Neodiprion lecontei: one gene and its partner. The protein of the gene in region 2 binds, or shares a complex with, the protein of the main gene of each other region. Links are inferred from orthologs where the notes say so. Each region holds a gene or a part of one and is shown on either strand. Other genes may lie near its edges.

The links.
Region 1: ATP-dependent RNA helicase SUV3 homolog, mitochondrial (region 2) and polyribonucleotide nucleotidyltransferase 1, mitochondrial share a complex: the UniProt entries of both Homo sapiens proteins name them as parts of the mitochondrial degradosome (mtEXO) complex. The link is inferred for Neodiprion lecontei from reciprocal best matches to the Homo sapiens genes SUPV3L1 and PNPT1.

The regions. Positions count from the first base shown.
Region 1 is NC_060264.1:16,919,189-16,924,031, forward strand, and holds the start of polyribonucleotide nucleotidyltransferase 1, mitochondrial, read right to left. Parts: upstream 3,045-4,843; 5' UTR 2,967-3,044; intron 1-2,966. UniProt on the Homo sapiens protein: RNA-binding protein implicated in numerous RNA metabolic processes. Catalyzes the phosphorolysis of single-stranded polyribonucleotides processively in the 3'-to-5' direction. Mitochondrial intermembrane factor with RNA-processing exoribonulease activity.
Region 2 is NC_060261.1:12,082,875-12,090,951, reverse strand, and holds the start of ATP-dependent RNA helicase SUV3 homolog, mitochondrial, read right to left. Parts: upstream 6,039-8,077; 5' UTR 5,829-6,038; coding exon 5,752-5,828; intron 5,616-5,751; coding exon 5,583-5,615; intron 5,501-5,582; coding exon 5,271-5,500; intron 4,590-5,270; coding exon 4,367-4,589; intron 4,267-4,366; coding exon 4,098-4,266; intron 3,992-4,097; coding exon 3,880-3,991; intron 3,784-3,879; coding exon 3,653-3,783; intron 3,539-3,652; coding exon 3,225-3,538; intron 3,098-3,224; coding exon 2,956-3,097; intron 2,874-2,955; coding exon 2,715-2,873; intron 2,598-2,714; coding exon 2,418-2,597; intron 1,266-2,417; coding exon 1,117-1,265; intron 1,002-1,116; coding exon 880-1,001; intron 801-879; coding exon 723-800; intron 641-722; coding exon 525-640; intron 234-524; coding exon 171-233; 3' UTR 123-170; exon of another isoform or gene 1-122. Other genes in the region: phosducin-like protein, read right to left, coding at 6,897-7,129, 7,200-7,827. UniProt on the Homo sapiens protein: Major helicase player in mitochondrial RNA metabolism. Component of the mitochondrial degradosome (mtEXO) complex, that degrades 3' overhang double-stranded RNA with a 3'-to-5' directionality in an ATP-dependent manner.

The DNA of each region.
Region 1 (4,843 bases), on a different chromosome or scaffold from region 2:
ATTCAAACTAATTTTATAATTAAGAATATTATTTGTAAGTACGACACGATAACGTGATCTCAACATCTACTACTTTTCTAGCAAGTTTTTTTTCTCATGCCGGAATTGGAGTTTCTATTTATTTATTCGGTCATAAATTTCTCTATTATTAATGGATTTCAATTTTTCTGAAATCTAGAGGAATGCCAGAAGGCCTGAATATAGTTCATACCATTTCATTCTTTTTTTTCAAGTTATTCAAAGATCCAAGAAAACTAAAAACTTGCGAAAACTATAGTAAATGTAGAGATCCCTTTATCGTGTCGTGCTTAAGAATCATATTTTTAATTATAAAATCAGTGTGAATTTTTTCAGAATTTTGAAAGAAGCGTTTTCGGAATTGGTTTTTCAATTTTTTTCTATTTCAGTGGTGGCTAAAGAAATCTGCAAAAAAAATTCCGACACTGTTTTAAGTCGATTGAAACCGTGGTTGCAACATCATACCAAACAATTATCAAAAGCGAAGAGGGTGAGGTACATGGGTTGCAAATTTGACGTGGAATGCCCAACATACAATGTATATCTATTGGGATGGTCGTTAAACGGATTTTTTACGTTAATGGCTTCGAATACAAAAAACCATCTCTAATTTTTTCAGATTTTCATTTCGAGCTCTTAGTGGCCTTATGTGATTTTCTTTTTAATTAGAAAAAAAGGTAATTAATGATTTCCGGAATCTCGCCTATTGACAGTGATCTCAGATAGGAAATATCCTCAGGTTTAGGGAAAAAATAATTAAAGAAATCCCACCTGTGCGCAAAATTGTTAAGAATCGATTTGAATACCAAAAAATTAAGGAAATTTGGAAATTGAGGAACATGTTTTCCCAAAAAAAAAAAAAGTTAAAACGATCGAAAATGTGTACTACATTCTTGGGCACTAGAATGGAATTCCCCACACATTTTCTTCCTATACAATTAAAAATAAAAAAGTTTGACAATTCAAGGAAAATTAAATAAAGTATAAAATACGACTACAGGTCCTTCCCTTTTTTTCTCTTTTTAATCTATAAAGTAAATAGACGAGCGTCAAACCTGCCGGTTTTTGCATGCATGTAAAATAATTATGTAATTCACTTACCATCTTGATACCTCGAGAGCTGCTGGCATTAAACTGAACACTGTGAAGCCTCTTAACTGGCTGCCAATATCAGAAAAGGAGAGGGGTCCATACATTGTTGCTACTGAAATAATTTTGTCGTTCCGATCTCGCATCTCTCAAAATTCTTAAGAAATGCTCGTCAAGACTGATATAAAATGGGCGTTTTTTTTTTAATAAGGAAAAGTTTTGACAGTAATGGAAAATAGAGATTACTAAAAACAAATGTATTGTTTTTTAATAACACCGGCCCAATTAAATTTTAAAAGGCTTATGGTTGAATAAACTTCAGATTTGGGTTTAGCGGACCAAAATGCATAAAAATCATACTTGGTCTATACTTCCATAAATTTTTTTCTTACCAAAACTGCTAATTTTTGGCTATTTTTATGGTTTTTTGCAATTTACTCAAAATTTTGAGGGTGTACGGGCAAAACTGACTTCAGATTCGGATTCAGTGCGTCAAAATACATAAAGATAGGTAGGTCCGGTCAAAAGTACAGACCTCTTTTTTTTTATTTTTGTGGACCGGTGTTATTAAAAAACAATACATTTGTTTTTAGTAATCTCTATTTTTCATTACTGTCAAAACTTTTCCTTATTAAAAAAGAGGCGCCAAAAACGGGGAATAAATCGATTCACACTCGGAATTTTATTGTTTCAATTATTTGTTCTCTTCTGGATTACCCCCACTACAAAAAGGGTGGGTTCAGTAAAACAAAAAGCAAAAGGAAAGAAGGAAAAAATCGACCGGCTCTGGAAATTTTCTTTCTTTCATTTGTTTTTTCTCTCCGAAAATACAAAAACAAAAGCCGGGATTGAATTTAAAAAAAAAAAAAAAAAAAAGAGTGAACTGCGATCGAACCCGTGTCCCGCATCACTCCATCCTCATTTTTTTTTTTTTTTTTTTTTTTTTTGAGAAAGAAACCATATTTATTTAGATGAACAATAAATGTACAATATTTACAATGTTGCACTTGTAATTATCTTAGCTTATGTAACTCCGGCTTAAATTTTAAGCTCAATCTAACATTTTGTTTTACATTAAGTGGTTAACTTATTTTTTAGTGTTTTGTTTAAGACTTGAATACAGTATTATAGCAAAGGCAGCAGTAATTAACTTAAATACAGGAAAACTTCGCGCAAAAACCTGTGATTGAAAATTCATCCTCATGTGGTATCCACTCAGCCACACCACAGCTACGTCCGTGAGCGCGCGTTTGCTCGGTATGTTTATGGAGCTTGCTTGGAATTCGCTGATGCTTCTCTGGAAGATTCAGTTCGAGAAAAAAAAAAAATTTCCCCCAACCACTTGCCCATTGCACATTTTGCATAAATGTTATCGAGCTGGCTTCGTATATTTTTCCATAGACTGCGTGCACAAATATTCGAGAATACCAGGCGTCACATATTTTCATATCAATAAAAAAATAATATGTATTAAAAAAAAAAAAAAAAGTATTCGGACTGGGAATAGTTAACTAATTTGGTTCAGCGTCCGCTAATTGATTCCAAGATTTATCAAATCTGGAGATACTTTTATTCGCTGACATTCATAACTGAAACAAAAAAAATCCCAATTCTTGCATTCCTGGAAACATCTGTGCGAGCGGGGACAAGGATGCGATTGGCAACCACTTGCTCGAGCAGCCGAGTGTATCTATATATACACGATTGTGGGCCACCTTCGGTGCATGGCCGCTTGATGTCAGGTCGGAAATGGGCCACCTTCGGTGCGTGGCCGCCTAGGTGTCACGTCGACGCTCCAACTTAGCTGGTATCACGAAAAGCCGAGCGTTGGAGATCTCCCTACTCATCTCTGGTATCACTAGAGGAGATATCACGCATAGAGACTAGAGGCAAGAGTATGGACAGAGATGAGTAGGGAGATCTCCAACGCTCGGCTTTTCGTGATACCAGCTAGGTTGGAGCGTCGACGTGACACCTAGGCGGCCACGCACCGAAGGTGGCCCATTTCCGACCTGACACCTAGGCGGCCATGCACCGAAGGTGGCCCACAATCGTGCATATATAGATATACTCGGTCGCTCGAGCAAGCGGTTGCCAATCGCATCCTTGTCCCCGCTCGCACTAATGTTTCCAGGAATGCAAGAATTGGGATTTTTTTGTTTCAATTATGAATGTCAGCGAATAAAAGTATCTCCAGATTTGATAAATTTTGGATTCAATTAGCGGACGCTGAACCAAAATAATTAACCATTCCCAGCCCGAATACTTCTTTTTTTTTAATAAATATTATTTTTTTATTGATATGAAAATATGTGACGCCTGGTGTTCTCGAATATTTGTACGCGCTGTCTATGGAAAAATATACGAAGCCAGCTCGATAACATTTATGCAAAATGTGCAATGGGCAAGTGGTTGGAGGAAATTTTTTTTTTCTCGAACTGAATCTTCCAGAGAACCATCAGCGAATTCCAAGCAAGCTCCATAAACATACCGAGCAAACGCGCGATCACGGACGTAGCTGTGGTGTGGCTGAGTGGATACCACATGAGGATGAATTTTCAATCACAGGTTTTTGCGCGAAGTTTTCCTGTATTTAAGTTAATTACTACTGCCTTTGCTATAATACTGCATTCAAGTCTTAAACAAAACACTAAAAAATAAGTTAACCACTTAATGTAAAACAAAATGTTAGATCGAGCTTAAAATTTAAGCCGGAGTTACATAAACTAAGATAATTACAAGTGCAATATTGTAAATATTGAGCATTTATTGTTCATCTAAATAAATATGGTTTCCTCCTCAAAAAAAAAAAAAAAAACATGAGGATGGAGTGATGCGGGACACGGGTTCGATCGCAGTTCACTCTTTTTTTTTTTTTATTTTTAAATTCAATCCCGGCTTTTTTTTTTGTATTTTCGGAGAGAAAAAACAAATCAAAGAAAGAAAATTTCGAGAGCCGGTCGATTTTTTCCTTCTTTCCTTTTGCTTTTTTTTTTACTGAACCCACCTTTTTTGTAGTGGGGGTAACCCGGAAGAGAACAAATAATTGAAACAATAAAATTCCGAGAGCGAATCGATTTGTTCCGCGTTTTTGGCGCCTCTTTTTTGATATGGAAAAGTTTTGACAGTAATGGAAAATAGAGATTACTAAACGCAAATGTATTGTTTTTTAATAACACCGGCCCACAGAAAAAAAGTGGCCTGTACTTTTGACCGGACCTACCTATCTTTATGTATTTTGACGCGCTGAATCCGAATCTGAAGTCAGTTTTGCCCGTACACCCTCAAAATTTTGAGTAAATTGCAAAAAAACCATAAAAATCGCCAAAAATTAGCATTTTTGGTAAGAAAAAAATTTATGGAACTATAGACCAAGTATGATTTTTATGCATTTTGGTCCGCTAAACCCAAATCTGAAGTTTATTCAGCCATAAGCCTTTTAAAATTTAATTGGGCCGGTGTTATTAAAAAACAATACATTTGTTTTTAGTAATCTCTATTTTCCATTACTGTCAAAACTTTTCCTTATTAAAAAAAAAACGCCCATTTTATATCAGTCTTGACGAGCATTTCTTAAGAAGTTTGAGAGATGCGAGATCGGAACGACAAAATTATTTCAGTAGCAACAATGTATGGACCCCTCTCCTTTTCTGATATTCGCAGCCAGTTGAGAGGCTTCACAGTGTTCAGTTTAGTGCCAGCAGCTCTCGAGGTAGCAAGATGGTAAGTGAATTAC
Region 2 (8,077 bases):
TGAATTAATGATTACTTTAATTTACACATACGTAGTAGTTTACTGCCATACATTGTACAAAAATGAAACAGAAATCTTTCGTACCATCATTTACACTACAAATTCTTATTCATTGTACTTACGATTGGCTCTTGAATTGTGGAGAAATTTCGGCAATGAACAGGAACACTTCATTTCAGTTTACGTTTCCGTCCGGTTTTTTTTGGACGACTTGATTCATTGTCATCGGTAAACTATACAAAAAATAAAACTAAGGAATGACAAAAATGTTGGTTAAATTAAAAAAAAAAAAGAAATTTGAATTTTAACAACTGCAAATACTGATTTGACTAACTTTTTTTGGACAAATGTTACTAAAAAGTATTTGGCTGAAATTATTTGGACGGAACAGATATCTTTAGGAACTGATAAATACAATTTGTTAGGTCTAAGTTCTTGCGAGATCATTTCAAAACTATAACTGAATTTGACATTGTTAGCATCAAGTTTTTCTATTGGCGAGCTTCAATGAACACTGTTCATACCTGATTCCATTCTCTCCGCAATTCGTTCAACATGCTTGGAGTAAGAAGTCCTTGTGCCAGTAATCTTTCTGTTAATTTACCTTGTCCCAAAGTCTTGGCTGTGACACTTCTAGAATCTATAGGTTGAAAATAATGGAAGCAAGGTTATCAACAGGCCAGTTAACAAAAAATAATGTACATTGTAACAAATAAAATAACCTCTGAAGTATTTGTTCTTCTGGGTGTTCAGTGCAAAGTGATCTTCGTCAGGAGCTAACACAGCACCATTGTTTGAACCTGAAAATGATTTGATAATGTTGGAACATGGCATGGCACAATTTACCAGAAATTTTAATATGTAATGTCTTCAACAAACCTGACTCTGAGGTCTTTAAAAGCTGTGTTAGTTGAACTATGCCTTCTTGTATAACTGCATCCAACTCCTTCTGAGTATCTCGCACAATATCTCCATCAGGCAAGAGGTCCATGAATCGATAACTAGCAGCAAATAAGAAAACAAATACCGTGAATCTGATGCTTAGGCATTTTTGAATTCAACTGAATTTGTAATACCTATCTAATTCTAATGGCTGAACTCAAAATAATTTCTCACCTGAACCAAAGGTAGAGATCTAAGACATCAAATACTGCTTCTAAATGAACCAAATCTATGATTGTTCTTGGTGCGGCGACTGGCCAACCGATGTTTTGACAAAGCCAGTCAAACGTCAACGTTTCATTTTTACTGTATTGTCGAGCGAACTATACAAAATCAAATATCAAAATTATGTTCAAATACGTATTTTTTTAGGCAAACAATATTTATTGGGATCCAAAATATTTAGACGCTATCCAGTAGCAGAAAAATTGCGCAATGTTAACCGTGTCGTATTTGATATTATTGTTCTTTTTTTACGTATATTTTATTATTTGACGACTTCGTATAAAGAAAAAAACTCATTTGGACAAAGTTTACTGCCCATTGATATTTGCATAATTTTTTTCTTTTTTAACTAAGACCGAGGCAAAATTTTGGATCCCAATTGAATTAAAGAATGAATGAACCATATAGTCTAAATTAAAGGTTCGGAAAGAAAAAAAAATTGCTCCAATCTTCAACGGTGTTTTTCTTTGTGCCAATGATAGCGAACACGATCACAACAATATCCCTAATATGAGATAAAAATGATTTTCAGTAAATTCGTATCACTAAGATAAAGTATTAACAATTTGAGAAAAGGTTTTATAATCAGAACATTGGAAATTCCTAAACTGTTGTGTTTTTTAGCCGATTTTAATATTTTTGGGCTCATTTTGCTCGCTGACTAGACCTCCACAAATTGTTAAAAACATTCACTGAATCTTATATTATAGTATAATTACAACGTGCAAATATAATTGTTGAGAAACATCTATTGTGCTGTGCTGCACAAACATTATCCACTATAAGCACAACTGTTTATGAATTTTTTTTTTCAATGTACCCTCAAAGCTCTATGGCAAACACAGTAAGCTCAAAGAATAAGAATCAATTCGAAAATACCAAAGTTTGAACATCTTGAGCGTTCTGATTATAAATCTTTTTGTCTGATGGTTGATATCTTAGCTTTTCTTATTCGAACATGGTCATATTCATTTATAGTACACAGTAGAGATGTTATTTCATTCGTATTCACCGTCATTGCCGCACATAAAGCTGCTGGAGATTTTCTAAATGATTTTTGTTGACTTGTCCTAGCATTCAATTTAGACAGTACAGCCCGTTTGTACTTGATCAGAAATTACAGATACACAATTTGGAATCTTTCTGACTTAAATGTTGTTAATCAGTTTCAATTGAACTTTTTGAGCGTGACTAATGTAGTAGAATATGTGATATTATTAGAATAGATTGGTTGAGCATGATCAGCTTACTTTCAAGAACATTGTGCACACAAATGGTATTTTCCTATTTATCGGCGCACAACAAAATACGTATCGTGCGCGCAATGGTAGCGGGATGTGCTGAATTATATCAGCAAGAAATTTGAAATCGTCTAGATTGCACATGAAGTATAAAGAGTTGTCCACTATAGATAGCGATACGAAAATATCCTGCAATAGGAAAGAACGATTAATAATTAATTGTAAGTCTGAAAAAAGAGTACAATTTACGGACTCGATGCAAATCTGCTGATTCCTAAATATATTATGATGTATTGAAACAATCACCATTAGATTAGACAGAGTAGAATCAGGCAGGTAGTAAGCATATAGTTCTATTTGATCAGCGGTTGGATGTAAACCAGCTTGAGTAAGGACTTCTGGTTCTTGTGAAAGCAAGTGTTGCAGCTTGGATAGATCATCTGGTCTAAAAGTTGTTACATATCCCTGAAACAACAAAGCAACTACAACTCCGGGAAGTCGAATAAGCGTGATAGAATTGAACACCGAATTTTTAAAAATGATTTACTTTCTCCCATTGTGTACCATAACGCCCGGCTCGTCCAGCTATTTGCAGAGCAGAGGACACAGGTATCGTGTCAATTTCTTTTTCGCCCTTTTCATTGATAGTCGGCTTCATCAAAGAGTAGAATATTATCCTTCGTATACTCCTGCCAAATGAAATATGTGTAAAAAAACGCGAATGATTAAACATCGAAATTTTTTTCCACACATGCTATTTGAGTTCGCCTTTATCATTGGAAAAATTACGATTTAAAAAAAAAGAACGATACTAACAAATTCAAACCCATCCCGATAGCATCAGTAGCAATTAAAACTTTACATGGGTTATTGATGTCATTGAATTTTGCTGCTTGAGCTAGTTTTGTTCCTGGTGGAAGGCTTCCATATATAACTGCCACTTCAATACCACGAGATTCGATGCTACGAGACACAGAATATATTTCATTTTTACTAAAGCAAACTATACAGTCTCCTGCAACTACATTGTCCAGTGATTTCAGTGCAGACTCTTCGACTTCCAACGGAGTCAGACGTTTATATCTCCGTACCTCAACATCCTCTCCAGTTGTGATACATATGGAGCGGACCTAACATATAGCAATCATTAGTGATTCGGACAGCATATCTCACCCATGTAAATTTATGAATCGTTGGCCATCAAATTCATTGATTTTTCAACGAATTTTGAAATATATACTGACTAAGTCTATCGCAGCAGCTTCTCCGCAAAGGTGAATTTCATCGGCTGGCAGTCCTAGCAAAGCTCTAGTCCATGCCCAGCCTCTACCTGGATCTTTCATCAATTGGATTTCATCTATGACGGCAACCTCACCTAAAATAAATTAATTTTATTCCATTCGTTTCCTTTTTTTTTTTATACTTAAACGTAATATGTAATGAATAATTGAATCAAAGGATATAACCTTACATGCAGCGTTTGTGTTGGCCATTTCGACTGTGCAAGATATGTGATTTGAAGGGTTGTCTGCACCTTTCGCAAAATTTTTCTCTTCTCCGGTAATTAAGTCGCATGGGGTACCCTGGAAAAAGATGCAGGATAAACAGAGTATTGCGATAACGTTCAAAACAATGAAGAACATTTGCAAGATTTTCAAAAACAGTTCTAATGAATTACTGAATCCTCACGTTAGTGTTGCTTTTATTGAACACTTCTGCAGCCAACAACTTCAGCGGCCCACAATATAATCCACTTTTTGCAGTCATGAACCTCTGTAGCGCGTGGTAAGTTTTACCACTATTCGTTGGTCCAGCATGAAATATAATTTTTCTTGTCTTAGCTCTCGCTAACGGGTACCTGCAAAATGATAGTTATTTAATTTGCGCATATTTCTGGTTATAAATATGAAGCTCTATTCAAAATACAGAAGCAAATATTTCCACTGTTTTATTCATACCAGTTAGCAGGTGTGCGTAGATCGCTTATTTTCTTGAGATCATCCATACATTCAATATGGGGAAAAGTCTGTTTCGCATGACGCATAAAGTACGGAAATATGTCATCGACATGCCCGGCTCCTTGCATTATGTCGCTTATTACAACATGCAAGTCTGCCGGCAAGGTTTCAGCATCTAAGCAGTAGCGTCGAAAACTGATGAAGGTTTGATGTTGTAAGTAACCTGCAAGACGTTCATATTTGTGTGTGCAGTCTCCAAAATAATGCAGAAAAACTAAGAGCAATGAACCAAAAGTAGGGAGGAAACAACCAACAGAAGCATTTACATTGGCTTTTGTAGGACAATGTTTATTGAATGTAATTTACAGCGATAAAACGGGTGGAAACAAGCAGGGAAATCTACTCAACTTGAGAGGATCAATCTCAGAACTTCCAGCTACTCCCACTATCGATGAAGATAAAAATTTCAGACTACATGATTTATAATTTTGAAAATAACTTTAAAGGCTCAACTGATTTTAGTAAAAATCTAATCAGCTTTATATTAATAAAGCTAAACCCATGAAGCAAGTTTCATCTGCATCTAGACGTTTTTGAGATACCACAAGAATTAAGTTCAAATTCTAGTCAGTTCTGAGTCAAGCAAAACTGAATCAATTAAGGCCAAAATAATAAAATCTAATCTTTCAGTAATTGCCACCAAAAAACGATCATACACTCAAATCGAGATGTCCACCTGAAAGTGATCAGAGAAGATTCTCCAGGCCTTAAATAGTAGAAATATAGTGAAAACACAACTTTTCATTTTCAGGGTAATTATAAAAACTTTCCTTTTTCTATAAAAATACCAAAGCGGGAAGTTGAGAAAACTGAAATAACGAGTTGAAGCACCTTAAGTACTCACTGTCCAATCCGTGTTCCATGGCGAGCACCTTGATCTCTTTTCTTTGATAGAATTGATTGAGCACTTTCAGGAGGTCAGCTTTGTTGAGAGCCCCACTAAGTTCAACTCCCACGTTAATATCATCTGGGTTCGACTTGACGGGAACTGGTTTGAACAAAGATGTGATTGTAGTCGAGTCATCTTTTTTTCCCCGCAAAGGTTGTGCTAAATAAGCTCCAATTCTAAGATATCTGAAAAATAAAAAATAACGCGTAATGTATTAGAAATCAATTCATAAAATTATTACATTCAATAATTTTTATAAAACTTTACCTGTTGTTGATTAAACTCACCTCACACTTACACCTGTTACAATAAAATATTTGTAGGATATAGGAATACAAAATTGACCATAGGTTATAATAAGTGAATAAATATGAATAATGTGTGTCGATTACCTTATTACAATATAAAAGTATATAATAGAGATATTATACTCTACCTGTCTTGTAAAGTGGTGCACAGGATCCCACTTCTTCGAAGTAGGGATTCCGATATACGTCGGGTTGTCGGTATCATTTTTATATATTTATTAATTTCACAACATCCAAACCAGAGTGAAATCAGATTATCTTTAAATATCAAATAACGTTCATCGTGCAATAGGTTATGTTTCGGAAAGACCTGCGGATCAAAAAATTACAATCGAGCGTGCCGACTGCCGGTGCGCGCACTGAGTGAGATTCCACTGTTTTCAACCAATAGTTGAAACGAGATACTAGAAGAACCGTAATCAGTGCGCATCCGCAAGTGTAGCCAATGAAAAGCGCCATTACTCCGTGGCGCAACAGTAAGCATTTACAAAAGTTGAGAATGCCGTACAATTAGTTAATTTATTCTTAAATTATGACTCTTCCCTGGTTTATCTGAAACAAGTGATTGAATGAATTGTCCAATGCATTTCAATGCTTAATCGGTATTTGGTAACTCAATCTACTAACTGTGCGTCTAGAAACATTTTCGCGATAGTCTCGAGCCTAATTTTGGATTTATCCAAAGGTGTGCGTTGGGACTTTAGACAGTTTGAAATGAGTTGTGCGTTCCAAAGCTTTCTAAAACCCTTCTCAATGCGAGTTGCAAAACCTGCTGCCAACCAATGCTTGTCAACACTGAAAATTCCCAAGAACATCTTCCACCTTTTTTATTCATTGGGTTCATTGCGTTGCCTAATTTTCCGCTATTCACGAGAGTCCGATTTTGTATTCTTTCGTGTCAATTAAAATTTTTGCATTACTGATACACGTATAATTTCAATGGCAAAATTTATGCAAATCAGTTGGTTGCAAAAAGAGCAATTTATTACTAGTTATGTTATGATTGGAAAAGTTTAGTTTTCAGAAAACCAAATCTATGCAACATCTTTACCAACTTTTCAGTCAATGCCATTGGATCAAAGAACCATTCATTTACAGATAATTCACTCTATGTAAATGACGAGAAAACCAATCGTCATACTTACGAACAGCATAGATAAAATATACAGGAGCTTCAGGTTTATTGTTACATAGTTCATATAAGTATAGTTACTATAAATATTAAATACATTTTTACCACATATAATCTCCAGTCTCTATTTCGTTCATTTTTCTAGTCGCTGTCAGAATCTGCATTTCTCTTAGTAGAAACAATTGATGGAATACAGTTTCTGTCACTTATCATTCCATGCTCGATTAAAAAATGTTCAACATCAGAGGAATAAAAGTCAACTCCAAGGTGATCTGTGACACGAACAAAATTACCTATGACTTGTTTGTTTTTATAAACAAGCAGTGCTGGAACTCCCTCCTTTTTGAAGTGCCTACTTAAGCCTGCGGCGGAGCCTAAAAATAATTCAGCATTAGCAACTGCAATGTTCTTTTATAGAAGTTTGGAATTCTTTCACCATCTCACCTTGAATTTTGCAAAATTTAACGCTGGGATATTCGATGGCCAGTGAAAGTAAACAGCCATTCATAGTCTCACATCCTTCTATGTCAGGTTCATAAATATGAATAACGATGGTAACAGATTCATGTTCGTTGTCGATGGCCTCCAGAAATTGATCAGCAGTTACCAAGTTGAATAACCGGCCAAATCTTAATTTTTCAGCCCGAGTGAGCATTTCCATCATTTTTTGCTTCTGATAATTGAGTAAAAATTCGTCGTTCATCAAATCTGCCAACTCTGGATCGGTTTCCTCAAGATTATCTTTTTCCTCGTCAAGAGCACTCCTGCAAGTCAAACTCAACTTCTTCAGCAGCTCGATCCTCTCCTTCTCCTGTTCGACTTTCTTCTCTGCCTCTATTTGTTTAAACCGCTGCCAGTCGCCTAAGACCCCTTTCGGCCCTGTGTTGCTTGAAGTTCCGTCCCACTTTGCACACTCAGGCAGTTGCTCAGACCTTGACGCTGTCGCGTCGCACGGTTTCTGCGACTTTTGTTCATCTTCAGAATCCGCTGAGTCTTGCCCCTCGTCTTCACTTGAACTACTGCAGTAATATTGTAATTTTTCACCCAAAATTTTATCCTCAAGTGTTGCCATTCCGTTCTCTTTTGGGCTAGAGCTTTCTGTTGTACCTCTATTTAATACACGAAGAGCGGAATTATTAATATTATATTCAACGGAATAATAATTTTATCACCCAATCTCAGTCCATGAACATCAATGCTCTGCTCTTCATTCTCGCTGTTTTATCGAAAACCAATTATTTATTATAATTGTTGACTGCGTGAACGACGCTTTACACCAAGTTGACGCCATAGAGTAATTCTCTGAGGTTGATACGCCACAC